4 linked regions of the Anolis sagrei genome follow. The protein of the gene in region 3 interacts with the protein of the main gene of each other region in a pairwise test. Links are inferred from orthologs where the notes say so. Each region holds a gene or a part of one and is shown on either strand. Other genes may lie near its edges.

Evidence for each region.
Region 1: the proteins of VIM (region 3) and ESS2 interact in a two-hybrid assay, tested with the Homo sapiens proteins (2 studies listed by BioGRID and IntAct). The link is inferred for Anolis sagrei from reciprocal best matches to the Homo sapiens genes VIM and ESS2.
Region 2: the proteins of VIM (region 3) and CRMP1 interact in binary tests that used the Homo sapiens proteins (3 or more experiments, as listed by UniProt). The link is inferred for Anolis sagrei from reciprocal best matches to the Homo sapiens genes VIM and CRMP1.
Region 4: the proteins of VIM (region 3) and KIAA0408 interact in binary tests that used the Homo sapiens proteins (3 or more experiments, as listed by UniProt). The link is inferred for Anolis sagrei from reciprocal best matches to the Homo sapiens genes VIM and KIAA0408.

What each region holds. Positions count from the first base shown.
Region 1 is NC_090034.1:33,137,013-33,145,199, reverse strand, and holds the start of ESS2 (splicing factor ESS-2 homolog), read left to right. Parts: upstream 1-5,045; 5' UTR 5,046-5,157; coding exon 5,158-5,283; intron 5,284-8,187. Other genes in the region: GSC2 (homeobox protein goosecoid-2), read left to right, coding at 259-506, 1,590-1,697. UniProt on the Homo sapiens protein: May be involved in pre-mRNA splicing.
Region 2 is NC_090025.1:104,770,347-104,778,008, forward strand, and holds the start of CRMP1 (dihydropyrimidinase-related protein 1), read right to left. Parts: upstream 3,323-7,662; 5' UTR 3,223-3,322; coding exon 2,857-3,222; intron 1-2,856.
Region 3 is NC_090026.1:105,844,260-105,851,843, reverse strand, and holds the start of VIM (vimentin), read right to left. Parts: upstream 3,176-7,584; 5' UTR 3,090-3,175; coding exon 2,515-3,089; intron 1-2,514. UniProt on the Homo sapiens protein: Vimentins are class-III intermediate filaments found in various non-epithelial cells, especially mesenchymal cells. Vimentin is attached to the nucleus, endoplasmic reticulum, and mitochondria, either laterally or terminally.
Region 4 is NC_090021.1:84,695,684-84,703,246, forward strand, and holds the start of KIAA0408 (uncharacterized protein KIAA0408 homolog), read left to right. Parts: upstream 1-4,088; 5' UTR 4,089-4,109; intron 4,110-4,505; 5' UTR 4,506-4,658; intron 4,659-7,176; 5' UTR 7,177-7,416; coding exon 7,417-7,554; intron 7,555-7,563.

The sequences.
Region 1 (8,187 bases), on a different chromosome or scaffold from region 3:
CTGGCTGAGAATTGGAGAAAGGAGTACAGGACCTTTCAAAAGCAGATGAGAAGTGGGACATCAGAGGATGTATTGGGACAGTCCCTGCCAAATTGATAATGTGCAAGTATAGGCTGTGGTTCCACTTTAACTGCTATGGTTTCATCCTACGGAATGTGGGGATTTGCATTTTAGGGAGGGGCATTTGAAACAGCCCCATTTCTCTCTCCTCCCACCTTGGTCCTCAAAGCAACCCAAACAACTTTCTTTTCCCAGCAGACACCAGGTTTCCCTGGCCCATGCGGCTCTTCCACCCGGTTGGCAGGCCATGCAAGAGTGTGCATGGGAGTCAGAGCGAACTGCAAACCTTTCACCAGATCCAGCGGCGAACCCGCCGGCACCGGACCATCTTCACGGAAGATCAGCTGCAGGCGCTGGAGGCCCTCTTCCACCAAAACCAGTATCCCGATGTCATTACCAGAGAGCATCTGGCCAACCGGATCCATCTGAAAGAAGAGAGAGTTGAGGTGAGGCTTTGTCTTGCCCCGAGCAATGATGGGCAGAAAGTATCAAATCTATATCTATAAATAAATCAAAGTATGTTTGTTTGTTTGTTCCACAAAGGCTCCTCCATGGCTTGATAGATTTGGACCACACTTGGCACACAGACCCGTCATTACCCAACTTAAAATACCAGTGAAGTTCAGAAACACATCCCTTTTGACTTTTGCCTTATTTTTAAAATGACTTACCTTGCTGGGCCATGAGACTCAACCAGCAGAGCCCAGAAGCAACCACAAGAGGGCACTAGAGTATAGCCAGAGGATCTACAGGGGAAGCAAGCCAGAGGGGGAGGGAAGAAAGGAAAAGAAGGGGGAAAGGAAGGAAAGGAGGGAAAGAGGGAGGGAAAGGAAAGGAAGGAATGGGGGGGGGGGAAGGAATGAAGGGAAGGAAGGGAAGAAAGAGAAGAAGAAAAGGGAAAGCAAGGAAAGAAAGAAGGGACGAAGGACAGGAGGGAAAAAAGAAAAAGAAGGGAATGGAAAGAACAAAAGAGGAAGGTGTATGAGGGAAAGCAATAGAAGAAAGAATGGATGAAGGAGAGGAGAGAAGAAAGAAAAAGAAGGAAACAGAAAGAAAGAAAGGAAGGAAGAAAGAAAGAAAGAAAGAAAGAAAGAGGTGTATGAGGGAAAGTGAGGGAAGAAGCTATTCCTGAGCCAAAAAGAAATGCAAACCCAGTCAATGCCGGGTATATACGTCAATAGGGGAATAAATAACCACAGAAATCTACTGAATAAAACCAGAGGCTGGAAGTAGTTTGTTCATGGCAACTAGTTACTTGGAATTAGTTCCTTTCCCAAATAAACAAAGGCATTAACTGCATTCCCTGAAAACTGTAACTTAAAAGAACAGCTTCACTTTTTGTGTCCATTCACACTGCTGTCCAGATTTAGAAGGCCACCCTTATTACTCCTTGACCGTCCTACTTGCTCTACTGCTTTTAAAAGGTCTTGGGTTATCTCCCCATTTCCCCCCTTTGTCCTTCTCTTTTTTCATTTGCAGCAAACTGTGGGTAAACGGTCCTTTTCCTCCCCTTTTCCACCCCTCTGCAGGTTTGGTTCAAAAACCGCCGCGCCAAATGGCGGCACCAGAAGAGAGCCTCGGTCTCTGCCCTCGGCCTTCAAGGCCCCAAGAAGCCCTCGGAGGGAAGCTGCTCATGAAGAGGAGTGCCGTTTCACCAGTCGAATGCGGGCAGCCCTTTTATTTCTGCGCATAATGCTGGGTTAGAGTTAGGGGGGAAAGAAGACAGATAGTTGGCCTTTTCACAAATACGGGTACGGCCCCTGTATCTGTGGATCAATACTCTTGTTTTCATTTCAGTCTGTCCTCTTTAGGCATTTCTTAGTTCCTTCAGTGCAACTCTGTGGTATCCTTGTCTCAGAGGTCCTTCATGTCATGAGATTTTGCCATTACCCACTGTTTCACGTATCCACGCAAAGTCCAGGAAGGTATCCCATTGCATATCCAGGAGTCATACGGTATTAGCACCATGTTTCCACTTGAACTGGGTCACTGTGGAATCCTGGGGTTCATAGTTCCGTGCGGCGCTCCAGCTCTCTTAGCAGGCCCCAGGATTCCATAGGAGGCTGCCATGGCAGTGAAAGCAGAATCATAGCACTTGAATTGTGTTGGATGAAAGGGGAGTATGTAATAAAATGTAATAAAAGTGGCCAAAATGGTAAATATCTCAATTTCAGCATCTAGATCCTACTGAAGAGCTTTATGTGTTTCCTAAAAAATGCCCCATTAAGAATCCTCGCCTGTATAAAGTGGTCTCCTAAATTGTACCTTGTTCTGCTCTTTATTTGTTGCCATGAATGTATTCATCCGTGCCAAAGGAATTACAGATTAAGCCACGGAAAGGCACCGATGGCACGCAAACATTGCTGTTTTTCATTCATAAGCCTCCCATGTTTTCTTAGAGTTTGAGGGTGCATCCACACTGTTGAATGAATGCAGATTAATGCTACTTCAACTGCCATAGGAGATTGCTTTGGAACCATGGGAGTTGTAGTTTGGCAAGACAAACGACCACTCCTTAGAGCCCTTTGCATTGAACTGTGGCAGCTCAAATGGCCTCAAACTGCACTCATTTGATAATGTAGATACAGTAGAAGCCTCCAGAGACTTGGGGCCAAAGGACCACCGACCCTCCATATCCATGGATTCGGTATCCATAGGTTCAATCAGCCATGGCTTGGAAATATTTTAAAAATAATCTGAAAAGCAAAGCTTGATTTTGCCATTTTTATACAAGGGATGCTGTTGCATATGTTATGTAACAACGTTGGAAACATTTTCTGGTCCTGGTTTGAAAGTGTTATTTCCTGTTTAATTGTGAGGTCCTTACTTTGAAAGCAGTTGTTCTACTCCAGAAACTTTGTTTTTGGGCCACAAACTTTGAGACTCGATTAGAGATTCATTGAAAAACTATCGCAAAATGTGCTGCAGGATGATGTTCCTCTCACAACAGCAAAGTTGTGTCAGTTAGATAAACCTTTTCTATGTTTTTATTATAGAACCAATTAGGAAATGACATTTATAACCCAGGAACAAGAATAGTGTCACATAGTGTAATGGTGAAATCAAGCAATTTAAAGCAGTAGCAGATACTGAGATCCGGATTGTGGACAGGGAATCCCAATAGCACGGTACCGAGATCCATTAAGCGGATGACGGGTACAAGCAGCATGCCACCTGTGGATCTGTGCCTGCCGAGACTAAGAAGCTATAACCCAATGTTCCCCGATCAACAAATCTGACCAGTTGAAGAAGCCACCACAACATTTTATTCATTCTGGCCAGAAGGGATGCCAGCCAGTGGTATGCCACTCAAAGAAGCTGACATGTGTGACAAGAGTAAATCAGACATTTTTATACAGTTTGGTCTTTTGTTTTTCCCATGCACACCCAGCTGGAGCCGACCATCTGGGAAGATTCCCTCTGTGAGGCAGTGTTGCAACCCAGATCAGGAAACGAGACCATAAGATTAAATCCACCACACTTGACTGTGGGAAAAAACAATCCTTTTTTATTGATGAAAAATGGTTACAAAATGGAGGAAAATGCAAAGTCAAAATGCCACAGTAAAACTCAGCAGTCAGGAATATCTCTGAACTAGATCAGAATTCCAAAAGCAACACTATAAAAACCTGGAACCTGTTAGCATCTCACTAACCATACTTGGAAACTAGAAGCCTCTGGGAATGCAGGCTATGGGAAACGGGAACTCTGCCAAGGTAATGCCTCAGTCTAAACGATGCTTGATCTAACGAGACAGCCTGGGGGGAGACACTTAAAACTAAAGAAACTTTTTCGGGACATGCCTCCAGGCTTGGAAGCCTCCTTTTCCTTTAATCTACTTGACCTTCGCAGGCTCTGTGATTCACTCCAGCTAGTCTATATATAAAAATGCTCTGGCATAACGAGTACCTTCAAAACAAAAAAAACTATGGGGCCAAATGACCCCAAATTTGGCAACAAAACTCCTCACAATCCAAGGAGTGACCATCACTGAAAGAAAACCCCACAAAAACACCCTTAAATTCAAAAAAGGAAGAAGACAACACGCCTCCCGCCCCGCGCTGAGGACACAGAATGAGGGTTCTGAAGCAGGAGTAACACTAAGGCAAGGGATCAATGGGCAGAGGAGGAGGAGGAGGAGGAGGAGAGGGAGGAAAGAAAGGGGGGAAGGAAAAAAGAGGGAGGCGGGCCACACTCTGTGCACACACTCTGACTCTCTGTCTCCCACACACACACTCCCACAGCACAAGGGAAGGGCGAAGGTGCCATGATGGGGGTAATAGGGATACACGAAACTGACATGGCTTGGAAAGGAGCCCCAAAGACCATCCAGCCCAACCTCATTTGCCAGTAAAGGAAGACACCATCAAAGCTCTCATAACAGATGGCCAACCAGGGAGCCCTAAAGGCCATCCAGTCCAACCCCCTCCTTCCTTCCCTTTCTCCACTTCCCTTCCTTCTCCTTCATTTCTTTCCCTCCCTTCCCTCCTTCCTCCCTTCCTTTCCTTTTCTCCCTCCCTCCTCCCTCCCTTTCATTCCTTCCTTTTTCTCCTCCCCTCACTAGCTTCATCCTCTTTTATTCAATCTACAGTGTAGATGCAAAGTCACCCCTTCCACACTGCCATGTGAAATCCAGATTAACTACTTAGGACTGGATTATATTCATGCGGGGGGCTATTATCACTTTAAGAGACACAGGCACAACGGGAAGTTGTAATCACTCAACCTCGATCACGAACATCTTTCATATGTGATAAATAAGATCATAAGAATCACATTCTTGCCCGCGATCTGTCTCATTTCGTGTGGCATCCGTGCGACGCACGCGCAATTTGAATCTGAGGACCTCCCAAAGGAGCCCAGGCCCAAACCAACCCGGAAATCGGGGCGTGCGCCTCAGTCTCACCTTGATGTAGTTCTACGGTGCAGCGCTCGTGATGGCAAGCGACCAATCCGCGGGAGGCTTTGTCGCAAAGGCGAGCAAGCCGTGGGGAGCCACTTCCGGTTCCGTCCTTTCCGGAAGTGCCTGCGCACAGCGGCTTGATTTGGGACGGGGAGAGCTTGGTTTCTAGGGGTGACGACGAGGTGTAGCCGGCCATGGAGCAGCCTGGGGCCTTGGTGCCGGTCCAGACCGAGGCCCGCGCGGTCGTGGCGCTGAAGGAGGCCGGCCCAGGACCTCCCAAGAGCAGCAAGAGGGTCCTGGACGAAGACAGCTACATCCAGGTGAGCGGAGGAGGCCCAAGGGGCTCGCCTGAGGGACGCTACACCGCAGCTTGACACCACTTGTACAACTCTGGCCTTCTCTGCCCGAAGAGGGCTGCTGCCTCCCCAAATCACACATCCCAGGACCCCATGGCTTTTCAAGTGGTGTCAAAGTGGGTTAAATCTACAGTGTAGATGCGCTCCTAGGGACGGTTATAGTATTTATATCCCACTTTCTTCTCTTAATGAGACTCAGGGTCCTTCCAGACAGCCCTATATCCCAGAATACCAAGGCCGAAAATCCCATAATATCTGCTTTGAACTGGGTTGTCTGAGTCCACACTGCCATATATTCCAGTTCAAAGCAGATAATGTGGGATTTTCTGCCTTGTTATTCTGGGATATAGGTATGTCAGGAAAGGCCCTCAGGGCCCTTCCACACAGCCATGTAACCCAAAATATCAAGACAGATAATGCACAATTCTGGGATAGGTCTGTGTGGACACTTACTTAGGCGATCCCTCGCTTTCCGGGGATGATTGTCTTCCAATATTCTTGTGGGTCCGTATGTGGCTGTGGAGCCCTATTCTTGCTCTGCATCTTCTTCCGCAGTGAGGGCATTGGTTTCCAGGTGGAAGGCGGTCTCGGCCGGGGTTGGCTTGACGCGCCTTCCTCTTGGCACGTTTCTCTTTTTCACCCTCCACTCTTGCGTCCTCAAATTCTGCAGCACTGCTGGTTACAGCTGACCTCCAGCTGGAGTGCTCAAGGGCCAGGGCTTCCCAGTTCTCACTGTCTATGCCAGAGTTTTTAAGGTTGGCTTTGAGCCCATCTTTAAATCTCTTTTCCTGTCCTCCAACATTCCGTTTTCCATTCTTGAGTTCGGAGTAGAGCAGCTGCTTTGGGAGATGGTGGTCGGGCATCTGAACAACATGGCCGGTCCAACGGAGTTGGTGGCGGAGGACCATCGCTTCAGTGCCCTTCCACACAGCCATGTAACCCAAAATATCAAGACAGATAATCCACAATTCTGGGATAGGTCTGTGTGGAAGGGCCCCATGTAACATGATTTGTGGCTGAGTTTGAACCCGGATCTACCCAATTCCTCATCTGACCAACTGGTTGTGATGGCACTGTATAATCAGAGGTGGGAAGAAGCCAAGGGTAAGAGAGAGATTTGGCTGGGACTCTTTGTCATGCTTGATTGTGGCTGGAGGTGACATTTCAGATGACCAGTAGGGCAGTTTCTTTTATCCCTAGCCATGCTGGTTGAGATTAATGGACCCCAGAAAGGCTAGCTTGAAGTAAAGCAGAGCTTTCCTTTCCTACCATTGATGGCAGGAAGCTGGAAATGCTTTCTTTTAGCTAGGTTGGTTGGTTGGTGGATGGGCAGGTGGCATGCTGAAAGATTTTCAAAGCCCTTCTACACAACTCCATATCCCAGAATATCAAGGCAGAAAATCCCCGCTTTATCTGCTTTGAACTGGGTTATCTGAGTCCACACTGCCATATATTCCAGTTCAAAGCAGATAATGTGGGATTTTATTCAGCTGTATGGAAGGGGCCTCAGTCCACACTGCCATATCATCTAGTTCAACGTGGATTTTATACAGCTGTGTTGAAGCGCCCCCAAAATACCAAGGCAGATAATCCACAATACAGTAGAGTCTCGCTTATCCAACATAAACGGGCTGGCAGAACATTGGATAAGCCCAGTTTTATTGTGTCTTAGTGTATTGTTTATTGCTTGTTGTTTATATTGCTTTAATTGTTTTAATTTGCTTTAGGTTTTGTATTGTTATATTGTGTGTTGAGGCCTTGGCCTATATAAGCCGCATCGAGTCCTTTGGGAGATGCTAGCGGGGTACAAATAAAGTTTAATAATAATAATAATAATAATAATAATAAGCAAAAATGTTGGATAGTAAGGAAGGATTAGGGAAAAGCCTATAAAACATCAAATGATTTTACAAAAGCCTATAAAACATTATGATTTTATAAACTAAGCACCAGAACATCATGTTTTACAACAAATCGATAGAAAAAGCAGTTCAATGCATAGTAACATTATGTAGTGATTACTGTATTTACAAATTTAGCACCAAAACATCGCAATGTATTGAAACAGCTATGGATCCAGGCGGGAGGCAGACTGTGTTGGATAATACAGAATATTGGATGAGCGAAGGTTGGATAAACGAGACTCTATTGTATCTGCATTGACCGGGTTATCTGAGTCTACATTGCCTGGAGTGTGGTAGAGGCTCCTTCTTTGGAGGCTTTTAAACAGAGGCTGGATGGCCATCTGTCATGGGTGCTTTGAATGCGTTTTTCCTGCTTCTTGGACTGGGTTGGACTGGATAGCCCACAAGATCTCTTCCAATTCTATGATTCTATGTCATCCAGTTCAAGGTGGATTTCTGGGCCCTTCCACACAGCCATATAACCCATAACATCAAGGCAGATAGTCCACAATATCTGCTTTGAACCGATTTATCTGAGTCCACACTGCCATATCATCCAGTTCAATGTGGATTTTAGATAGCTGTGATGAAGGGGCTTCAGAGTGGCTCACCACTGAAAAAACAGAACAAATGGCCATTTCAGACCGACAACAGGGCAACATTTAAAATAGAACTATTACACTATGTGACACTATGATTTTTTGTTTCTGGGTTATAAATTGCATTTCCTAATTGGTTCTATCATAGGCAAAGGTTTTCTCCTGACGTTAAGTCTAGTTATGTCCGATTCTGGGGGTTGGTGCTCATCTCCATTTCTAGCCGGAGAGCCGGTGTTGTCCATAGACACCTCCAAGGTCATGTGGTCAGCATGACTTCATGCTTCTCTGTTACCTTCTCGCTGGAGCTGTACCTATTGATCTACTCACATTTGCATGTTTTCAAACTGCTAGGTTAGCAGAAGCTG
Region 2 (7,662 bases), on a different chromosome or scaffold from region 3:
ATAATTATTATTAATCATAGCTAAAGGGCCTCACTGGTAGTTCAAATGATGCAAATCACTTTTCATGGAGGGCCACATCATCCTCATGGTTGCCTTCAAAGGGCCATTCTCAGGAGACTCCTTGGGTACAGACTACAATGTTTTTACATAGTGGTCAGTGCTTTTTAGTTTTTACCTAGTTTGGATCCCAGATGTTATTGAACAACAACTCCCATCGCTTTTGGGGATAATGGGAATTGTAACCCAACAGGACTTGTGGCTCTGGTTTGGGGAAAGGTGAAAGGATATTTTAAACTCAGACATCATACACACAAGCCTTGTATCTGAATGCAAAACCCACTCTCCTGACTGAATAGAGCAGGTATTACTGCATCACAATTCCCATCACAGTTGTCATGATGTCGAATGATGAAGACAGGAGGTGTAGTCCACATAAAAGTACATGGTGGGAGGGATTTGGCCCACTGGCCTTGAGGTTGACACTTATGAGTTTGAGCGGGCATGGGCAAACTTTGGCCCTTCAGGTGTTTTGGACTTCAACTCCCATAATTCCTAACAGTTGGTAGGCTGTTATGAATTATGGGAGTTGAAGTCCAAAACACCCGGAAGGCCGAAGCTTACCCATGCCTGAGCTAGAGCCTCCCCAGGGTGGTAGCTGTCCAGTCCCCTTCTGAAAACATCCAAAGAACAGTCTCTAGATGCTACTGAATGGCAACTCCCATCACTTTTGATTATCCATCACGCAGTATGGGGATACTGGGAACTGCAGCCCAACAGAATACATGGCTCTGCTAATCAAGTGCTAATCAAGGAAGCCTCAAGCAGACAAGAGTTCTTTCTCCCACTCTGGACATTATTCCACAGAAATATAAACCCCACTTGCCTACTTTCCAACAGACCCCTCAACCTCTGAGGATACCAGCCATAGATATGGGTTAAATGTCAGGAGAGAATGTGTCTGGAACATGGCCATACAGCCCGGAAAACTCACAGCAACCCAGAGATTCCAGCCATGAAATACTTCAACAACACAACTTTATTATTCTATGATTCTATGAGGGATACAGGAGATATAGTCTAGCCTCTGGAGGACACAAAAATCACATGAAGGGCTGGATTGCACCCAACAGCATGACGGTAAAGCACAATCAAAGTACACCTGACAGAGAGCCATCCAGCCATTCGTTGGCCTGATAGGTGTACTGTGTCCAAATCAAGTGTCAAATTTATTTATTTATTTATTTATTTAAGAAGTTTATCTCTCCCTTCAGAATAGAATGCTTCTGGAACACAGCCAGTCACCCCGGAAAACTCACAGCAACCCGTTTTTTTTGTTGGTTTGTTTTGGTCGTGTCAGGAGTGACTTGAGAAAATGCAAGTCGCTTCTGGTGTGAGACAAATGGCCGTCTGCAAGGACGTTGCCCAGGGGACGCCCGGATCTTTTGATGTGTTACAATCCTTGTGGGAGGCTTCTCTCATGTCCCCACAATGGGGAGGTGGAGCTGATAGAGGGAGCTCATCCATGCTTACACCAGATTTGAACCTGCGACCTGATGGTCTTCAGTCCTGCTGGCACAGGGGCAGAGGCGGCCCTAGCTAATTTTCAACGGTAAGCAAACAGTATTTTGCCGCCCCCCCCCCCCAACCAATCATTGATATATATTTTCTGTTCGTTGTGGGAGTTCTGTGTGCCATATTTGGTTCAATTCCATCATTGGTGGGGTTCAGAATGCTCTTTGATTGTAGGTGAACTATACATCCCAGTAACTACACTTGCCGCACTTGCTCCCTTGCCTGGCCCGCTTTGGGTCCGGAGGCATGCCTGAAGCCCCCGGCGTGTGCACCTAAATTCACCTCTTCTCCTGACTTTCTCCTCAGCCATTGGGACCAAGAGAGAGCGAGAGAGAGAGAGGTGGAGATGCTCACCTTTCCTGAAGGTAGGCACAAAAACAAAGGAGGGAGCGGAGGTGGGAGATACCTCCAGCCGGAGGGTCTCTCTCTCTCTCTCTCTCTCTCTTGGTCCCAATGGCTGAAGAGAAAGTCAGGAGAAGAGGTGACTTTTGGTGCGCATGCTGGGGTCTTCAGACACGCCTCTGGACCCGAAGTGGGCCAGGCGCGGCAGCTCCGCCCCCTGGACCACCCGCGGATTGGGGAGAGGAGAGGAGGTGAGTGGAGCGCCAGGGGATCGGGAAAGGGAGCTGGTCATGGGGAAGGGATCGAACGTGGAGAACGATTGAGCGCCAGCTCTGCTCGCGCACCCGGTGGCCGGGTGGAGCAGGAACGAGAGGGGCTAGGCGAGGCTCAAGGGCCCGGCCCCTTTGGGAAGAGGATCGCCCAGCAGCGAGGCAAGAAAGCCGAGGCTCCCCCCGGACTGCTAGGGGTGTTGTGAGCTGAGGGGGCGCTCCTCAAGTGGTGGTCAAGGGGCATTTACAGAGGCGCATCTGCGCCCCTGGCAAAAAAAAGTGTTCTGCGACCGCTTACTTTGCGTAATGGACGAGCCGCCCCTGCACAGGGGTTTAACCCACCAAGCCTCTGGAGGTCACATAAAATGACATGGAGGGCTGGAACTAGAATCTCCCCAGAGGAGCTGTCCAGCCTGCTTTAGAAACCATCCAAAGACTGGGCCTCAAACCAAGCAGTTGGTTCCCCCCGAAGTGGTTTCCAACCCTTGCTGGGAAGGGATGCTGCAGGAAGGCCAGGCCCTTATCCCTGGGTAGGCTTCCCTCCCCTCTGGAGCAGCCCTGGCAGGCGAAGTGGGGGCGCCTTCCAGGGACCCTGCTGGGCCACCGTAGGGGCCTGGCGCTGCGCATTCCTCCCCCCCTGCCGGCCCCGCCCCCTCCTCCTCGCGCCGCGTACCTTGCCATTGTCCGCGCCGGGCGGGCAGCGGATGGCCACGCCGGGCGTCCCCCGGTGGTCGCGCTCGGCGCCGGGCGAGCTGACGACGGAGCCGGAGACCTCGCTGGCGTCGCTGGGCGCCTCGCTGCCGTTGTCCCCGCCGGCGCCGTCCAGCAGGTCGTGCCGGCTGCCGCTGCGCGGGGTGCGCGAGCCCTTCTGGCCCACGCTGTAGGCCTCGAAGTCGATGGTCTTGTTCTCGTAGGCGCCCTCCACCGCCGCGAACATCCCGCCGTACTTCTGCCGCGGCGTCTGCGCCGTCGTGCCCGGGCGGGCCAGGTACACCGGCAGGTCGGCCTCCGTGTTCCAAGCCCGCTTCCGCTCGGCCATGCTGCCTGGCTGGCTGACTGGCTCCGCCTGGCGCGCGACAGACGGGGCCGCGGCCGGGCTTGAGGGGGCGCGCGCCTCCCGCCTTGCCTGCCTCGCGCCGCTCGCGAGTCACGTGAGAGAAAGTACAAAGGGACGCGGCGGATGAGGGGGCGTGATCAGGACAGAGGCGGGCCAATGGGAAGGCGGCGGAGGGGGGCGGGGCTCCTGCAGCGCCCCCAGCAGGCGGGGTGGGCGGCCGGCCTCGAAGGGCGGCTCCCCAGCCAGGCAGGTGGGAAAGAGGAGCAGGCAGGCAGGAAGGAAGGGGCGGGGTCACAGAGCCCCTCCTTCTCCTCTCTCTGGCTGGGGAGCCGGGCATAGGTAAAAGCCCAGTACTGTCCAACTCTGGGAGTTGGTGCTCATCTCCATTTCTAAACCGAAGAGCCGGCGTTGTCTATAGACACCTCCAAGGTCATGTGGCCAGCATGACTGCATAGAGTGCTGTTACCTTCCCGCAAAAGTAGTAGCTATTGATCTCAGGAGCGTAGCCAGGCAGGCATGTAGCGGGAGGGGGGGGGGGGGCTTGGGAGGCTTCAGCCCCCCCCCCCCGAAATTCTCATGGTGGTTCGCGAAAAGGCCTTACTGTTGCATAATTTAAACTGTTATGTTTATTCATATCATGATCTGATCACCATACTCAATATATCCCATATGCATGGGGGTGTTGGGGTAATGATACAAAAGATTTGCTAGGCTAGACCCTCTTTCACTCAGACTCAGCCCCCCCCCGAAACTCAGCCCCCCCAGAAACCCCCCTGAAAAAAAATCAGCCCCCCCCCCCCGAAACGAAATCCTGGCTACGGGCCTGTAGCCAGGATTTCGTTTCGGGGGGGGGGGGGTTGAGTGAAAGAGGGTCTACCCCAGCAAACCTTTTGCATCATTACCCCAATACCCCCATGCATATGGGATATATTGAGTATGGTGATCAGATCATGATATGAATAAACATAACAGTTTAAATAATGCACCAGTAAGGCCTTTTCGCAAACCACCATGAGAATTTCGAAGGCTTTCATGGCCGGAATCACTGGGTTGTTGTAGGTTTTTTCGGGCTATATGGCCATGGTCTAGAGGCATTCTCTCCTGACGTTTCGCCTGCATCTATGGCAAGCATCCTCAGAGGTAATGAGGTCTGCTGAACGTAGCATTTGTTGGATTTTCTTGGCGGGTCACAGAGCCCCGCCTTCTCTCTCTGGCTGGGGAGCCGGGCATAGGTTTTTGTTGTTTTTTTTTTTGTCGTGTCAGGAGCAAGTCGCTTCTGTTGTGAGAGAATTGGCCGTCTGCAAGGACGTTGCCCAGGGAACGCCTGGATGATTTTGATGTTTTTATCATCCTTGAGGGAGGCTTCTCTCATGTCCCCGCATGAGGAGCTGGAGCTGATAGAGGGAGCTCATCCGCCTCTCATAGAATCATAGAATCAAAGAGTTGGAAGAGACCTCATGGGCCATCCAGTCCAACCCCCTGCCAAGAAGCAGGAATATTGCATTCAAAGCACCCCTGACAGATGGCCATCCAGCCTCTGTTTAAAAGCTTCCAAAGAAGGAGCCTCCACCATACTCCGGGGCAGAGAGTTCCACTGCTGAACGGCTCTCACAGTCAGGAAGTTCTTCCTCATGTTCAGATGGAATCTCCTTTCTTGTAGTTTGAAGCCTTTGTTTCACTGCGTCCTAGTTTCCAGGGAAGCAGAAAACAAGCTTGCTCCCACCTCCCTGTGTCTTCCTCTCACATATTTATACATGGCTATCATATCTCCTCTCAGCCTTCTCTTCTTCAGGCTAAACATGCCCAGCTCCTTAAGCCGCTCCTCATAGGGCTTGTTCTCCAGACCCTTGATCATTTTAGTCGCCCTCCTCTGGACACATTCCAGCTTGTCAATATCTCTCTTGAATTGTGGTGCCCAGAATTGGACACAATATTCCAGGTGTGGTCTAACCAGAGCAGAATAGAGTTGGAAGAGACCTCATGGGCCATCCAGTCCAACCCCCTGCCAAAAAGCAGGAAAATTGCATTCAAAGCACCCCCAACAGATGGCCATCTGGCCTCTGTTTAAAAGCTTCCAAAGAAGGATCCTCCACCACACTCCGGGGCAGAGAGTTCCACTGCTGAACAGCTCTCACAGTCAGGAAGTTCTTCCTAATGTTCAGATGGAATCTCCTTCGTTGTAGTTTGAACCACCAAACTACCAACCTTTTGATAAGCAAGTTTAGCAGCTCAGCGGTTTAACCCGCTGCACCACCAGTGTTTTGGACTGCAACTCCCAGAATTCCGGTAGGCCAAAAAAAAAAAACCTAAACAAACAAGGTTGGGAACCACTGTTTGTCTGGTTATTTCTATCTACACTGCCATATGCAACCCACACTATCTGCTTTGATCTGGATTATATGACTACACTGCTATATAATCCAGTTCAAAGTAGATAATATGGATTTTATAATGCAGAATGGAAGGGACCTTGGTGGAAAAGACCAGCTTCTCTTGCTGATTCCCTTTTAATTTTGTAAGGAAAGGAGCTGTCCATTCAGCACCAGGCAAGAGAGGCTGCAGCTAGGGCCCTTTCCACACAGCTGAATAAAATCTCACATTCTGGAATAGATGGCAGTGTGGACTCAGATAACCCAGTTCAAAGCAGATATTGTGGGATATTCTGCCTTGATATTCTGGGTGGAAGGGCCCACAAAGAAGTCAAAAGACCCCGAGAAGAATGAGAGTGATTTATATAAATAAACACAAGAACAAAAGAGATCTCAGATCCTCAAACGTTTTGTTGCCAGCCTTCTGCTTCCACTTTGGAGGCAGAAGCTCATTCATTGATCAGATACTCAGTCCCTCTCTTTCTTGCCATGGATACCCATTTCTGCTTTTGAGGTGACAGCAGCAGCACCCCTATTTGTTCATCTCTCAGATCCTTAGTCTCTCCATCAAATCTCATATACAACACAAGTAGCGAATTAACCAAAGACAAAGCTAGGGAGAGACTCAGGCCCTATCTACACGGGTATATAATCCAGATTATTAAATCAGACCATCCACATTATCTGCTTTGAGCTGGATTATATGAGTCTACAATGCCATATCCTGTGTGAGTCAACACTGCCATATGGAGCCCCCAGTGGCACAGCAGGTTATATCACTGAGCTGCTGAACTTGCTGACTGAAAGGTTGGTAGTTCAAATCTGGGGAGTGGGGGGTGAGCTCCTGCTGTTAGCTCCAGTTTCTGCCAACCTAGCAGTTCCAAAACATGCAAATGTGAATAAATCAGTAGGTATCGCTCCAGCAGGAAGGTAAAGGCGCACCATGCAGAACAATGCCAGCTCCTCACCTTAGAAATGGAGATGAGCACCACCCCAGAGTTGTACACAACTAGACTTAATAATCTATATAAATAAAAATGTAATGTTCATTTGTGGGATTAACAGAACTCAAAAACCACTGGATGAATTGACACTAAATTTGGACACAAGACACCTTACAACCCAATGTATGTCCTTCACTCGAAAAAAATAATTTTTGTCATTTGGGAGTTGTAGTTGCTGGGATTTATAGTTCGCCTATAATCAAAGAACATTCTGAACCCCACTAACAATGGAACTGAACTAAACTTGACACACAGTTCTCCCATGACCAACAGAAAATACTGGAAGGGTTTGGTGGGCAGTGTCTTTTGGTTTTGGAGTTGTAGTTCACCTACATCCAGAGATCACTGTGGACTCAAACAACGATGGATCTGGGCCAAACTCTACAAGAATACTTAATATGCCCAAATGTGAACACTGGTGGAGTTTGGAGGAAATCGAATCTTGACATCTGGGAGTTGTAGTTGCTGGGATTTATAGTCCACCTACAGTCACAAAGCATTTTGAACCCCACCAACGATAGAATTGGGCCAGACCTCCCACACAGAACCCACATGTGGGCCACAACAACGTGTTGCAGGGGACGGCTAGTAAAATAATAAACTTTATTTGTACCCCGCCACCATCTCCCCAAGGGGACTCAGAGCGGCTTACTTGAGGCCACACCCATCAATACAGTAAACACAATATAACACAAAAACACAACAAAAATCAAGAAATAAAATAACATAAAATGCAGAACCAATGTAAATAAGCAACACAACAGTATAAAATCAAAACATTCAACACTAACAATGATCACAGTGGGCAGGGCCAGATTCAAGGATTAAAAATTTTAAAAACACTGGGAGATAGGGCAGTGTAGGATATCAGGAAGGGGATCCAGGGTATAAGGTAGGATTTAATGTCAAAGGGAAACCTTTACCTTACACTGTCATATAATCCAGGTCAAAGCAGATAATCTGGATTCTACATGGCAGTGTAGAAGGTGCCTGAGGATCTGTGAAATGGCAGTAATCCAAACAATGTGTTTGATGCAAATCTGCCCCTT
Region 3 (7,584 bases):
GAAGGGAAGATGGCCCCACCCAATGGGGGAGGGGGTATTTCTACATTAGAATTAATGCAGTTTGCCACCACTTTGCCATGGCTCAATAATGTGAATTCTGAGAGTTGTAGTTTTACTTTGCCAGTAGCTTTCCATGCCAGAGTTAAAATGATGTCATACCTCTGGGGATGCCTGTCATAGATGCAGGCAAAATGTCAGGAGAGAATGCTTCTGGTCTGGAACATGACCATACAGCCCAAAAAACTTACAACAACCCGGTGTCAGACTGCATTCATTTTACAGTGTTGAGATACCCATCAGTGTCTTCTAGAGCCCTTCCACACAGCCATATCAAGAGAATATCAAGGCAGAAAATCCCACAATATCTGCTTTGAACTAGGTTGCCTGAGTCCACAGTCATATATTCCAGTTCAAAGCAAATAATGTGGGATTTTATTCAGCTGTGTGGAAGGGGCCCTAGTTAAAACCTGCTAGGTTCAGGTTTATCAATGCTTAGGATCTGAGTGTTGGAGGAAGGAGAGAAGTTCTGCCTGTCTTCTGCAGGACTCCCAGGGCCCTTCCACACATCCATATAACCCAGAATATCAAGGCAGAAAATCCCACATTATCTGAGTGTGGACTCAGATAACCCACAATATCTGCTTTGGACTGGGTTACGTGAGTCCACACTGCCATATATCACAGTTCAAAGCAAATAATGTGGGGTTTATTCAGCTATGTAGAAGGGGCCCCAGTGAGGTGGTGCCTATGCTTTGAAATTATCCTTACCTCAGCCCTTTCACCCTATCCAACAAGCTTACTTATTCATTTACTTTATTCTTATCCCACCTTCCTTCAAATATAGGGATTCAAGATGGCTAAAGAGTGCTCATCACACTAGAGAACGAATCCACTTTAAATCCAGTTTCTGCTTCCTACAGAGTTCTGGGGTTTGTAGTTTAGGGAGGAACATTTAACAGCCTTACTAAACTACAAACCCCAGAATTCTGCAGGAGGCAGAAACCAGATTTAAAGTGGATTCATTCTCTAGTTGTGCTGAAATAGTTTGGACTGCTATGGCTCAATGCTGGGAGTTGTAAATCTTACAAAGGTCTCTAGTTTGCATGGACAAACTTGGGCCCTCCCTCCAGGTATTTTGGACTCCAACTCCCACCATTCCTAGCAGCCTCAGGCCCTTTCCTTTTCTCCCTCAGCCGCTTAAGTGGCTGAGGGGGAAAAGGAAGGGGCCTGAGACTGTTAGGAATGGTAGGAGTTGGAGTCCAAAATACCTGGAGGACCAAACTTTGCCCAGGCCTATTCTTTGTTAAGTTCCATTTTTAATGTTTATTTTCCAGGTCTGTAATTGTTGCTTGTTGTTTGTTTACAACATTTATATGCCGCCCTTCTCACCCCAAGGGGAATCAGAGCAGCTTACAAGACATATATATATACAATATATATTATTCGCATAGTACAATATCAGTATTAAATATTACTATATTGTACTGTAACATTATATTGTAATATTATTAGTAATATTACATATATTATAAATATATAATTATAGTATCATATTATTATTATTACTGGGAGCCCCTGGTGGTGCAGTGTGTTAAACCGCTAAGATGCTGAGCTTGTTGACCGAAAGGCTGCAGGTTCAAATCCAGGGAGTGGCATGAGCTTCCACTGTCAGCCCCAGCTTCTGCCAACCTAACAGATGTGAGTAGATTAATAGACACTGCTCTGGCATCAGGCATGTAGCCGGGGGGGGGGGGGCTTGGGGGCTTCAGCCCCCCCCCCCCCAAATTTTCATGATGGTCTGCGAAAAGGCCTTACTGGTGCATTATTTAAACTGTTATGTTTATTCATATCATGATCTGATCACCATACTCAATATATCCCATATGCATGGGGGTATTGGGGTAACGATACAAAAGGTTTGCTAGGGTAGACCCTCTTTCACTCAGACGCAGCCCCCCCCCTGAATCAAACTCAGCCCCCCCCCCCCGAATCAAAATCCTAGGGGCCTGTCTGGCAGGAAGGTAACAATGCTCCATGCAGTCATGCCGGCCACATGACCTTGGAGGTGTCTATGGACAACGGCAGCTCTTCGGCTTAGAAATGGAGATGAGCACCAACCCCCAGAGTCCGACATGACTGGACTTAATGTCTGGTGACAACCTTTACCTATTATTATTAGTAGTAGTATTATATTCGTAATTGTACATTGTGTATCAATGGAAAAGTGGTATACAAGTAAAACTAAGTTGTGACATTAGTCCGAAAGAGCAGATTCACCTCTCCCTCCAATTTAGGGTCCTTCCACACAGAGTATCAAGGCAGAAAATCCCACAATATCTGCCTTGAACTGAGTTATGAGTCCATACTACCATGATATTCTGGGATATAGGGCTGTGTGTGTGGAAGGGCCCTTAGACTTGACACCTGTCCCACAAACCCACCAGCCCTCTGCTGGCCTCTCCCCCGCGCATGCGCCCTGCCCTGCCCTGCCCGCCCTGCCCGTCGCGCGCTTACTTCTCCCGGAGGCGCAGGATGTCGTCGCTGAGGTTGTCCCGCTCCACTTCCACGCGCGCCTTGTCGTTGGTGAGCTGGTCGACCTGGCGGCGGAGCTCGCGCATCTCCTCCTCGTAGAGGTCTCCCAGGCGGGAGGTGCCTTTGCCCTTGAGCTGCTCCAGCTCCGCCAGCAGGATCTTGTTCTGCTGCTCCAGGAAGCGCACCTTGTCGATGTAGTTGGCGAAGCGGTCGTTGAGCTCCTGCAGCTCGGCCTTCTCGTTGGTGCGGTTGGCCTTGAACTCCGTGTTGATGGCGTCGGCCAGGGAGAAGTCCACGCCGGCGTCGCCCAAGTGGCGCATCGCGGGCATGCTGGACCGCAAGCGCACCGACTTGGAGGCGTAGATCCCGCCGCCGGGCGCCGAGGAGACCAGGCGCACGCTGCTGGGCCGGATGGCGCTGCCCAGGGAGTAGCGCGTCGAGGAAGAGGAGACGTAGCGGGTGCCGCCGCCGCCTCCACCACCCCCCATGCTGGACCGGCCGGAGCCTCCGAACATGCGGCGGTAAGACGAGGTGCGCTGGCTGCTCGTGGTGCTCATGGTTGTTGTAATCCCAAAAGTGTGTGGAGTGGAGGAGGAGGAGGAGGAGACGGCGTGGAAGGCTTCTGCTGCAGGTGCGCAAGGCAAGAAAGGCGCTGCGGGCCGAGGAGGAGCGCCTTTTATACCCCGGGCACGCCCCTCCCGTCCAACAAGCGCCCGGAGAGCCAATCAGGAGGCCCCAAAGCCGGCCAAGGATGACTCACGGGGCCTTTGGGACCCCTGAAGGGAGGGGGGAAAGAGGGGGGGAGGGATGATGAGAGGCCCCTCCTCCTCCTCCTCTCCCTTCCTTCCTTCCCTCGCAGTCCCAACCCAGCCCAGAGGCCCAAGACTAGTGTTTTAGGCTGCCCTGTATCCAAGGATCTCATCCATCTCAGGACCTTTCCACACAGCCACATAACCCAGTATATCATAGAATCATAGAGTTGGAAGGGATCTCATGGGCCATCCAGTCCAAGCCCCTGCCAAGAAGCAGGAAAACTGCATTCAAAGCACCCCTGACAGATGGCCATCCAGCCTCTGTTTAAAAGCCTCTAAAGAAGGAGCCTCCACCACACTCCGGGGCAGAGAGTTCCACTGCTGAACAGCTCTCACAGTCAGGAAGTTCTTCCTAATGTTCAGGTGGAATCTCCCTTCTTGTAGTTTGAAGCCTAGTCTCCAGAGCAGCGGAAAACAAACTTGCTCCCTATGACTTCCTCTCACATATTTATACATGGCTATCATGTCTACTCTCAGCCTTCTCTTCTTCAAGCTAAACATGCCCAGCTCTTTAAGCCGCTCCTCATAGGGCTTGTTCTCCAGACCCTTGATCATTTTAGTCGCTCTCCTCTGGACACATTCCAGCTTGTCAATATCTCTCTTCATTTGTGGTGAAAATTGTTGGATTTTCAAGGCAGAAAATCGAACAATATTTGCTTTGAACTGGGGCCCCTTCCACACAGCTGAGTAAAATCCCTCATTATTTGCTTTGAACTGGGGTATATTGTGGGATTTTCTGCCAGGGTTATATGGCTGTGTGGAAGGGCTCTGGGTTATCTGAATCCACACGCAGATAATGTGGGATTTTTGGCCTTGATATTCTGGGATATAGGGCTGTGTGGAAGGGCCCTGGAATATATGGCAGTGTGGACTCGTAACCCAGAATATCAAGGCAGAAAATCCCCACAATATCTGCTTGAACTGGGGCCCCTTCCACACAGCTAAATTAAACCCCACATTTTCTGCTTTGAACTGGGATATATGACAGTGTGGACTCGGATAACCCAGTTCAAAGCAGATATTGTAGGATTTTCTGGCTTGATATTCTGGGTTAAATAGGTGTGTGGATGGTTATCTGAGTCTACACAGCCATATATTCCAATTCAAAGCAAATAACATGAGGTTTTAATGTGGAAGGGGCCACAGATAATCTGCTTAGAACTGGATTAAATGAGTCTCCACTGCCAAATTATCTGGGACAAAAAGATCATCTGGGTTTAGATCCTGGGATAGAGTAAAGAACCAGTCTAGAACAAGCATCTACTTAGGTGTAAAAAACAAAACCCATTAGTGACTCCATTTATGGCCCTTTCATAGAGCCATATAACCCAGAATATCAAATTAGAAAGTCCTACAATATCATGTTTGAACTGGGTAATTGGAGTCCACATTGCTATATATTCCAGTTCAAAGCAGAAAATGTGGGATTTTATTCAGCTGTGTGGAAGGGGCCTCAGTCCCAGCTCAGTGACAGCACTCTGCTTTCTGACGAAGTTTGAGTCAGTTTAGCACTGCAGCCCAAAGAGAAGAACCACCATTAGTAACACCACTCCCTTTCCCTCAGGGTCCTTCCACACAGCCCTATATCCCACAGTATCAGCTTTGAACTGGGTTATCCGAGTCCATACTGCCGTATACTTCAAAGCAGATAATGTGGGATTATATTGAGCCGTGTAGAAAGGGCCTCAGAGACGAAAGAATCTTTAACTCTCTTTCTAGCCAAGGCTGACCCAGTTTCGCCTGGAGAGGAGAGACCCTTTAAACTGGCTTCTTTGGTTTATGGGAAAGCTTTTCTGCAAGTTGGGAAGGACTTCGGAGAGGAAGTGAATTGGGCTTCGATATTTATTAGAAGAAGCGGCTGAGGGGGGAAAGGAAGGGGCCTGAGACTATTACGAATGGTGGGAGTTGAAGTCCAAAACACCTGGAGGGAGGGCCCAAGTTGGCCCATGCATGGTGTAGAGGCGCCCAACATTTCCAGGGCTCCCCCTCAAGACTCCGCTCTATCTGCCGCCATGGCGCGCCTCGCAAACTTTTCAGTGTCTTGGTTCACTTTTCGTTTTCGGGGCGGCTTTCCTCGCCATGTCCGGCAACGTTGGTAACAATGAGCTCCACCCTTGGCTCCCCCGATTTCTTTCCTTCTCTCCTCTGCTTCTACTTTGCTCCTCCTCCTCCTCCATCAATCAGGAGTCTGGCCCTTGTCCGACCGCTGCAGCCACCGTCCCCTCCTCCGCCTTTCCCCTCGCAGGGCTTTTCCCCGCCGTCAATCACCTCCCCTCCCCCCCTCCCCTTGGGTTAGAAGGAGGCACTTTCTCCCCCTCCTCTTCCTCCTCCTCTTCGCCCTTGCAACAAAGTTGGGCTGGGTGTTTGAGAAGAGATTCTTCATTAATATCCGCACACCAACAGCAAGCGCACTTACAAAAACGACCAAGCACTTGGACAATAGTAAAGAAAACAGCCCCACAAGCATCCTCCCAAATCAACGACTAAGGCCCCTTCCACACAACTGAATAAAATCCCGGTAATAGTATGAAAGCTGGGTCCGGAAGCTCAGAGCGTTACGCTGTTTCCGCTTCGCTCCTTCGGGAGCGCTATTTGCGCAACACAGAACGGAACACAGATATTCATAGTTCATCGTTCTTTCATGGTAAAACCCTAAACCTAACTCTAACTCTAACCCTTAACCCTGATCCTAACCCAAACCCTAAACCTTACCTTAACCCTTAACTCTAATCCTAACCCTTACCCTTAACTCTAATCCTAACCCTAAACCTAACCCTAACCCTTAAACCTAAACCTAACTCTAAGCTTAACCTTCTTAACCCTGATCCTAACCCAAACCCTAAACTTTACCTTAACCCTTAACTCTAATCCTAACCCTTACCCTAACCCTTAACTCTAATCCTAACCCTAAACCAAACCCTAACCTTAAACCTAACTACAGCTTCCAAGATTGTGTAACACTGAGACATAGCCATTCAAGTGGTGTCAAACTGCATTTATTTTGCAGTGTAGGTGTACCCGCTATTTCCAGCTCCTCAGGGCCAAGTTCATGTTCTTTGAGATGCACAAGAAAGGCATGCTTGCTTATCAGCCATGTCCACATGGGAGTTTATCTGATGCCAGAGAGGAGTCCTGTTTGCTTGGCTGACTTGCCTCTTGCCTCCGCCTGACTCTGCTGGAGACACTTGTATATTGTGCTGCTTTTTAATAATAATAATAATAAGGCAATAACTTCCTCAGAAAGGGGAAGGAAGCTGTGGCAGATCTACATTGTAAAACTAATTCATCTTGACAGATCTTTACCTGTCATGGCTCAGTGCTATGGAATCCTGGGATCTGTAGTTTGTTGAGGTACCTGCACTCTTTTGACAGAAAGGGCTGAAGGGCTTCTAAGGCCCCTTCCACACAGCTGAATAAAATCGCAGGTTATCTGCTTAAGAGTTTCTAAGGCCCCTTCCACACATTGAATAAAATTCCACATTATCTTCTTTGAACTGGAATATGTGGCTGTGTGGACTCAGATAACCCAGCTCAAAGTACATATTGTGTGTTATTCTGCCTTGATATTCAGGGTTATGTGGCTGTGTGGAAAGGCTCTAAAACTACAACTGCAATGATTCCATAGCATTGAGCTGTGACAGTTAATGTTGCATCAAACTGTATTCATTTTATAGTGTAGTAGATGCATCCAGCGTGTTCTCAGGTGGACAGATTTAGGCCCAAAGGCTTTCTGCAGCTATCCTGTTTTTTCTTGATCTTTTTTTTTATTTCTCATAAGAAATGGAGAAAAAAAGAGGAAGTATCCTGTTCATGATGCAAAGCGGTTGCACAGCACAAATTTCATCTGCAAATACACTTGCTGACTTACATCTTTCAAAATCAGTTCTGCTAATAGATGTGGTCATTGGTCAGGGAGTCAATCCACTGAGTTCCATAGGAAGTTTCTTGTTGGTATGTGTGCTAGGGACTCATCACCCTATTCTGGGGTTTTCTTTCTGAAATTTATTCCGAGGAGGTTTGTCCTTGCCTTCCTCAAAAAGCTGAGGGAGTATGACTTGCCTAAGATCACCCACTTAATTTTCATAGCTGAAAAGGAAGTCATAGGATGTTTCTACACTGTAGAATTAATGCAGTTTGACACCACTTTAGATAGCACGGTTCAATACTATGGAATAATTGGAGTTGTAGTTTTATGAGGTCTTTAGCCTTCTCTGCCAAAGTTACCAAGTGCCTCACCTAA
Region 4 (7,563 bases), on a different chromosome or scaffold from region 3:
GCATTTCAATGGCTTCTTCAAATATCAGACTGAAACTACTATTGAGCTAAGCCACCACTAACAATGCAGCATTTATATATTTGATTTTTTTATAAAAAAAATCATAAACTTCATGAGAACTCATGGCCTTGGTCATCCTTGCTTTTAAAAATATGCTTTTTATAATGACCCAGAATTCTTGTTTAATGAGACAGAAAATGCTTCTGAAGACTCAGAGTCGTTGTTCAATGTGCTCCCTTACATTCTTACTTGGTGGTTGGAAGAGCGCACTCTCAAGGAGGTCGTAAAAGAAAAGACAATGAGGGGAGGTACTGAGGCTACACAGTGGCCACAGAAACGATGAGATCTGCTTCAGAACACCTGCCATAGATTCCCTGTACCTGTATGTAGACAGTACTCAAGGTCAGCATCTGCTCAAAGCATTATAGTCCTACTTGGGTATTCACTGAGTGAAGAATCTACATGGACATAGAAGGGCTGATGGGTCCTGCTCAGGGCTCCACATATGTTGTTGAATAACTTCTGCATAGTGGACCCTTTACTGCCTTTAGATGTTATTTGTGCAATATAGATCCAAATTCATCAAGTTAGATCTCTCTCTTCTGTTTATCTATATCTATCTGCTTCTCTGTGTGTGTGTGTGTGTGTGTGTGTGTGTGTGTGTAGAGCACCCAGAATCCCCAGCCACTCCTTATTTGATGGCATTGAAAGCAAAAAAGTAATCTTTCTGCACTATCCAGTTCCCCCATTACATCCCCCATTCTGTGGGCATGGTTCAAAGTGCAATCCTGCTTTATTATTCATGCCAGAAAGAGCCCTGCTTCATTTGTGTTGCTTCTTCATTCTAGAAACACCAGAAGAAGGTTTATTTGTTAATAATCACAGTGCAGAGTCAAAATAACTTTAAAACACAGAAAGTATAAAATGGCTCACTTTTAAGTATCTAAACTTGCCCTTTGAATCATGTTGCGATAGCCGAGAACAGGCAGCTAGCAGAAACTTGGAATATTGTACATTTTGTGTGTGCTCCAAGTGACACCCACCCACCATCATGAGGTGGGGTCACTGCATTCCACTGAAGCTGCAGCTGTCGAATAGTCTTCAAAGGCAGTCATATGCAGAATTCATCACACACGGGCATGAATATGGATTGTTAGGCTGCATTCTTGTTAAAGAGAGTCGTTTTGCCAGATGGAGTTGGACATTTGTCAAGTTCTCCATAAAAAGAAGCCTTATTTAAAAAGGGATTATTCGTCTGTTTTTATTTGATTCATTGTTATTATTTTGAGGGGAGTGATCAGCTATGAATTAATTGAAGGTTGCTGCCACAACTGTGATTCTGGAAATTATATGTGAGTACTCCAGCAAAAAAATTCTTTGCTCAGGGTAAAAAGGAAAGAAAGAAAGAGAATTGTCTTTTGTAAAAGAAATGTGATCCTGACTATTGTAGTTTTAGTATTTACACAGACAGCTTTGGCAAGGTTTAAAACTGGGCTCCACTATAAAACCTAAAAATGTCCTGGACATGAAGTTGTTTACATAAAATATGAGAAGATATAGAGTTACAGGGCTGGGGATTGGAAGAGACTTCTAAAACCATCCTCCTTGTTGCTGACGTCACATAGAAACCAGCTGCTGGGATGATGCTAAACAGAACTGTTTTTCAGTTTGCAAAAAGTTGCAAAGTTGATCTAATAAACTTCCAAGGGCTGTCTTGATTGAGAAGCTGATGATTTTCCTTTCTTTGAAGGATCAGTAATTTCAGAACTGGAAGTCTTTTTCCCACTTCACTGTTCTCACTGCAACTTTAGATTTGGACTGACGTACACACAGGGGGATTCTTCTACTGCAAAAGGTAGGTCTATACTTTTTTATTTGTTTTAAGAATTATTGTTCTTCTTCCCCTCATTTGAAAAAAATGGCAATATTTTCAGAATGTGATGGACTTAAATGCTCTGTTCAAAGGGTTATTTAGACATCTGTCTACTTCCCACCCCCACCTTTGATTTGAATGTAGGTCAGGAATCATTTCAGTTAGAAATGGATTTGGTTTTTCAAAAAAAGGCAGCATGATTTTTTCCTAAGCAATGAGTGAGAGAATTAACAGCATGTATTTAAAATGCATTTTATTTTATCTTATTCACCAGAAGAGGATTTTAGATGCATGCACATAGTCACATAGAGAAACCTGCTGCTGCCGTTAGATCAAAACTTAACGGTTTTGTAATACGTGCTCAAAATTCGGCACAGTTGAATGACAGAGATGCCTATGGATCAAAAGAAGCCATGCTTATCTTAAGCACTGTCCTGTGCATCCACTTTTGTTCCTCTCCATTAAAACATAACACCTCCTTGACTGATGTCACTCCCTGTTATTTTTAGTAGATGCTTTCCATTCCACAGAAGGGTATTTATTATAAACTATTTGGACTTATCAACACATGTTTGCATGCAGGGGGAATGAGATTTAAAATTTTGTGTTGTGGCATGCAGAATTCTTTTAAAAAGAAGACTGGTTTGTTTCAGAGAAGGGGGTGTCCAGCGGATATAGATGGCATTGATTGTTCACATAGTTTTACTGCTGTATTGAGCATCTGACCTTGGCTAGGACACTGTGGAGACGTGTCAGGGCAGCAAAAGGACAGATGCCCTGCTGTTTTCTAAGGCAATCCAAAACCGCAGGCAGTATCTAGAGTTTTGACACTGGAATGGAACATTCCAGAATAATTGAGACTGATCATATTCACCCCAGCACCTTTCTGAGCGTTAGATAAGCACTTTGCAGACCCACTGGACCAATTTACATATCATTTGAAATTTTGAGGTGCCTGCAGGTGAGGGGAAGAAAGCTTTTCCACTGGGTTTGAGATGTATTTTCTTGTAAAAGGCAAAGGTTTCCTATTTACATGCTGAAGAATTGGTTTTATATATATTGAGGGTTACTTGTGTAAGAAAAAGGGAATGAGATTTTCAAGACTTTTTGTCTTCCCCTGGCCACTGTGTGTACTAGAGAAAAGGAAATTCAGTTTTATTCTCCTAGGGAAGAGAGGATTTATTTGACATGAGACAGGGATGAAGAACGGAGGTCCTTGGAGGCATGTCAGCACCATAATACCAGCTTGAGCAAAATTAAGCAGTGACCCAGTTCTCAATGTGTAAACATCAGCTGGAGCTTTAGTGTACACAGAAACAATTAACAAGAAAATGTGGCCAAACCATGAGCAACCATGCAAACAAACAAAGGGAACTTGAATGAAAGGGAAATGTATCCTCATGATGTTACTTGGCTGGGACATCTGACAGGGTCTCAGGAAGTTGTACCTTTGCTTTACAGATGTGATTTTTCAGTGAATACTTTTCTAAAGCATGTTAGTGGTTGAAAGGTAGTAATTTGCAAAAGTGCATTGTTGTGATTAATTCAGTTTGTGATTACTGCCCTGCATCCCATTTTATAGAGGAAAAGCTCAGTTTCATAAAGTGACTTGCTACAGATTGAGCACAAGGGACTTCTGGGTCCAAGCCAATTCTTTAACTACCTGGCTATACATTCTCTTCTGCATGAGTTGCATCACAATCTGGCTGATAGGTGCTCATCTACTAGGAATATTTAAGTAAAGGGGAGCTTGCCCTGAGTAATGTGGCCCCAAGCTCCCTTTCAGCCATCTTACTCTACGAGCATTATCTGTAATGTAATGACTCCAGCTGTGCTCTTCCAGAACTTGATTGCATTTGGATTATCTCCAGTGTGGCTTTGTAAATGTCGTTTGGTGGGAAACAGATTGCAGATTGCAAAGCCTGGTTTACCATATAATGATTTTTAAAGCGCTGTGTGCTTTATTCTCCATTAACATAGTAGGCTCTTTTGTAAGTGCACTGTTTGTATGAGAGAAAGGCACATTAAGGAGAAAGGTATTATTTCCATGCTCGTGCTTTAGCAGTTGTACATTTTCTGCTTCTCATTGAACGATTGCATTAAACAGATGTTCTGTCTTTTCTTATTTGATCCCTTTACACAGAAGTCTCGAAAGAGATTAATCTTTGCATTGTTTAAGCCAAATGGGCGAAGAGAGGAGCTGCTCTTTTAATGCCTCTGATGTCTGTTTGAATGGGTCAGCTTAAAAGTCAATTTAATTCCCTTCCCAAAATACTGTATTTTTTAAAAAAATGTAACAACAAACCCAATAATTAGGGCAAACTTTTGCAAATGTTGAAATGGCTGCACATGCTCATTTTGAAATAGCATTTATACTATGAAAAAGCTTTCACTGCAGTGGAAACTTTAAGTAAGAAATTGTTTTTGAGCAACAGTCACTGTAGTCCCTGGCTGGAAGTGATGGAATCTTCATCGGCTGGCTGCTTGCTACAAGAAATCCAGGCCCTTTTTCCTTAAACAATCATTCCCTCTTGGCCTCATTTCTGAAAAATGCCGTGTTGTCTTTGAATAGCTCTGTTAACTCTCAGTGAAGTGACTCTGATTTGTAATAAAGATGTTCTATTTTTTCCAGCCAGGTATAAACAGAAATACATTTGTCTAATCCAAAGCCTTTAGAAGCCAAACTGAGAAGGGAGGAAAGACCAAACCATGTGGAGTTTCAGAGTCCAGTGACAGACCAAGATGAGATCTGGAGAAAGAAGGCGGTGATTGCTGTGTTGGGCAGGTATGCTATTCATTGACTTCCATTGGTTATGAAAGAATAATGTGGAATTTGTCCAGTTTTTTCATACTTATTACAGTACTTTTAAGAATTGAATCTCATGAAGCAACCTTGGAGGTAAAGGGACTTATCTGGTTTTGGAAAGGCTAGGAAAAAGCCCTGGCCTAAATCCTGAAGAATAATTTCTGTCAGTCAGAGTTGGCAATACTGGACTAGAGAATCAAGAGGCAAATCAGGGATGGCAAAAGTGTGACTCATGGGTGGAATAAAGCCCCAGAATAGTTTTTATTGTCCCAAGGCATATCAATTGTGTATTTTAAAAATATAACTTTTTGTTACACTTAAATGCATCCAGACACTCTTTGCGGAGCAGTTTCACCATGTTTATGGCTCGGCCATTATTGGTACAAGTGACTTGGAGCTGACTTCTGAATTATTTCTTAATGTAAACAAGAGCTTCACACCCACATTTCCATTCTTGGAGAGGAAAAGGCTTAGAGGGCAATTTTTTTTCAGCGGGGTGCATCCCTCTAAGGCAGTGGTTCTCAACCTGTGGGTCCCCAGGTGTTTTGGCCTACAAAACTGGCTGGGATCCCAGAGATCCCAGCCAGTTTACCAGCTGTTAGTATTTCTGGGAGTTGAAGGCCAAAATATCTGGGGACCCACAAGTTGAGAACCACTGCTCTAAGGTCTCCAGGGAAGCCAGTGCAGCCCCCTAAATCCCAATTGTTTTGCACCTCTGGTCTTATTCAACATAGGTCCCTTTCTCTGTCCTTATTTTCCATATATCCAAAAAAAGGGATGAAATAAAAGAAAGAGGAGAAGAAAAAAGGAGAAAGAACTCATATGGGTGGCATAAGACACACTACTATTTGAGAATGATATTTAAGAACAGCCCCATGTCTAATGATAAAAATGATTTTAAAAACTTATATTTTACATAATAACCAACACTTCGTGACAGTTTTTAGATTCAGCAATAAAGAAGAAATGTAATTAGTAAAAAAAATCAAATAAAGTATATATTTAAAATATTTCCCTCTTCAGTCACTGAAAATAGCTGATTTTTTACCGAGTTTGAAAAAGTTACTTTGAGGGATGGGTGGAAGAGAATACCTTCCATAATCTAGCTTCTTACATGGCCATACTTGCTGGGGGATTCAGTGAGCTGATAACCAAATATAAATGTCCCAAGTTCTAGCATACAGAAGCAATGCTGGACTAGATGGAATTTGTTTTTCCCCTTTGCAGGGTATTTCTTAAACAATAGTGAATATTTAGAAACACCTAAGGCAAATACATTAAACCCTTTGGAAGTCCCGATTTTCCACTTCTGCTTCATACATTCAATACATGTGAGTGGACTATTGGGATTCATGAAAAAGGATAGTTTTCTGAAACTGAATTCAGCCCACTACTGTTGTGGAGTAGCTTGTGTGTGTGTCTATATTTGCTTATTGGAAAAGGGGGATGAACAGAATGGTTGCGTCAGGGTAAAATCACCTTCATTAGCCAGCCTGCTATCTTTAGATTCACTGAGGCTGCCTTGTCAACAAATGAAACAAGCAGGACGTGAGCAAAGCCTTAGGACTTGCAAAGGTGTCAGGGCTTGAGTTTCCCTGTCAGGCGGTTCAGGAAGGACAGAGATGGCTCAGCAATCTGCAGCAGCCTTGCACTACTTTACACAAACATGATCCCAACGACATCCTTAAACCTGGACACGTACATCTTATTTGGATGAATATACTCTACCTATTCATTATATGTATGTTATTTCTTTATATGCCTGTTCTTTTTCTGGATTGTTTAGCAAAATCATGCCACTTACACTTTAATGTTTCAATTACAGTGTTAAAAAAGCAAATGTAATGTATGCAAGTGTATCAATTGTGCGTGAATTCTCATTTATAAAGCATTTATAAGATCTATATGCATATGTTTGTGGTTAATGTATGCTTCTTCTAGCATCCATAAAATCAATTGTTTCTTCATTGTTAAACCATGTCTTAATGTTAGTAATTAATTTATTCATTATCACATTCCAGAGGTTTTTTGTGCCATTCCTCTACAGGTGGTTTTTTAATCACTTTCCCTTTTATACGACAAGTATCGTTGCAGCTAGTTATTAATTATTAACAGTATCCAGTTCTTCATTAATTAAATTGCACAGATCACATTATGCAGGTCCGGTCTTTGAAAGTATGTAGCATATCTTTCCAAAACAGTCTGTAATATAACATACCAGCATCATTGGTGTATCATTTTCAACATTTTACGCCCTGGAAGTAGCACTGTACATTTTAAAATTAATCTTGTGAGCACACATTATGAATGCGACATCAAACGTTAATTTTGAAACATTACTTTTTTAATGTTTAATGTAATGCCATGAAAGTCTTCTACAATACATTACCTTTTTTAAATTACATGGTCTAAAAGTGCAATGAAAGAAATGTATACAGTGAGATTGAAGGGGGTGCTGCATTAGATTTTGAATTTCCCACTTTTTATTTTTCCACAGATCTGTTGCATTGGGACTTTTAAAGAAAAGCAATTATCTGTTTAAAAACCTACTGCAATCTGCAACCAATCTTTAGTGCAAAGAACATTGCACTGACCTCGCTGTTTTTCTTGTGGCTCCTCCCCACCGCCCCAACAAAAAGGTTGCTGCCTGTGCCGAGTACCATTTCTCCAGGTGTAAAACACATTCCCATTCCAAGGAACTTTCAGAGTATTTTTTCTCAGTTGAACCACTGCAACTATGGCCCTACAAGCCCATCTGGAGAGCTCAACTGAGAGGGACTGGAATAAAGAGAAGATGGAATTACTGGAGCGTTTTGACAGTGAGAGGAAAGAGTGGGAATGCCAGTGGAAGGTCATGCAGAAGAAAATAGAAGAGGTATTCTGA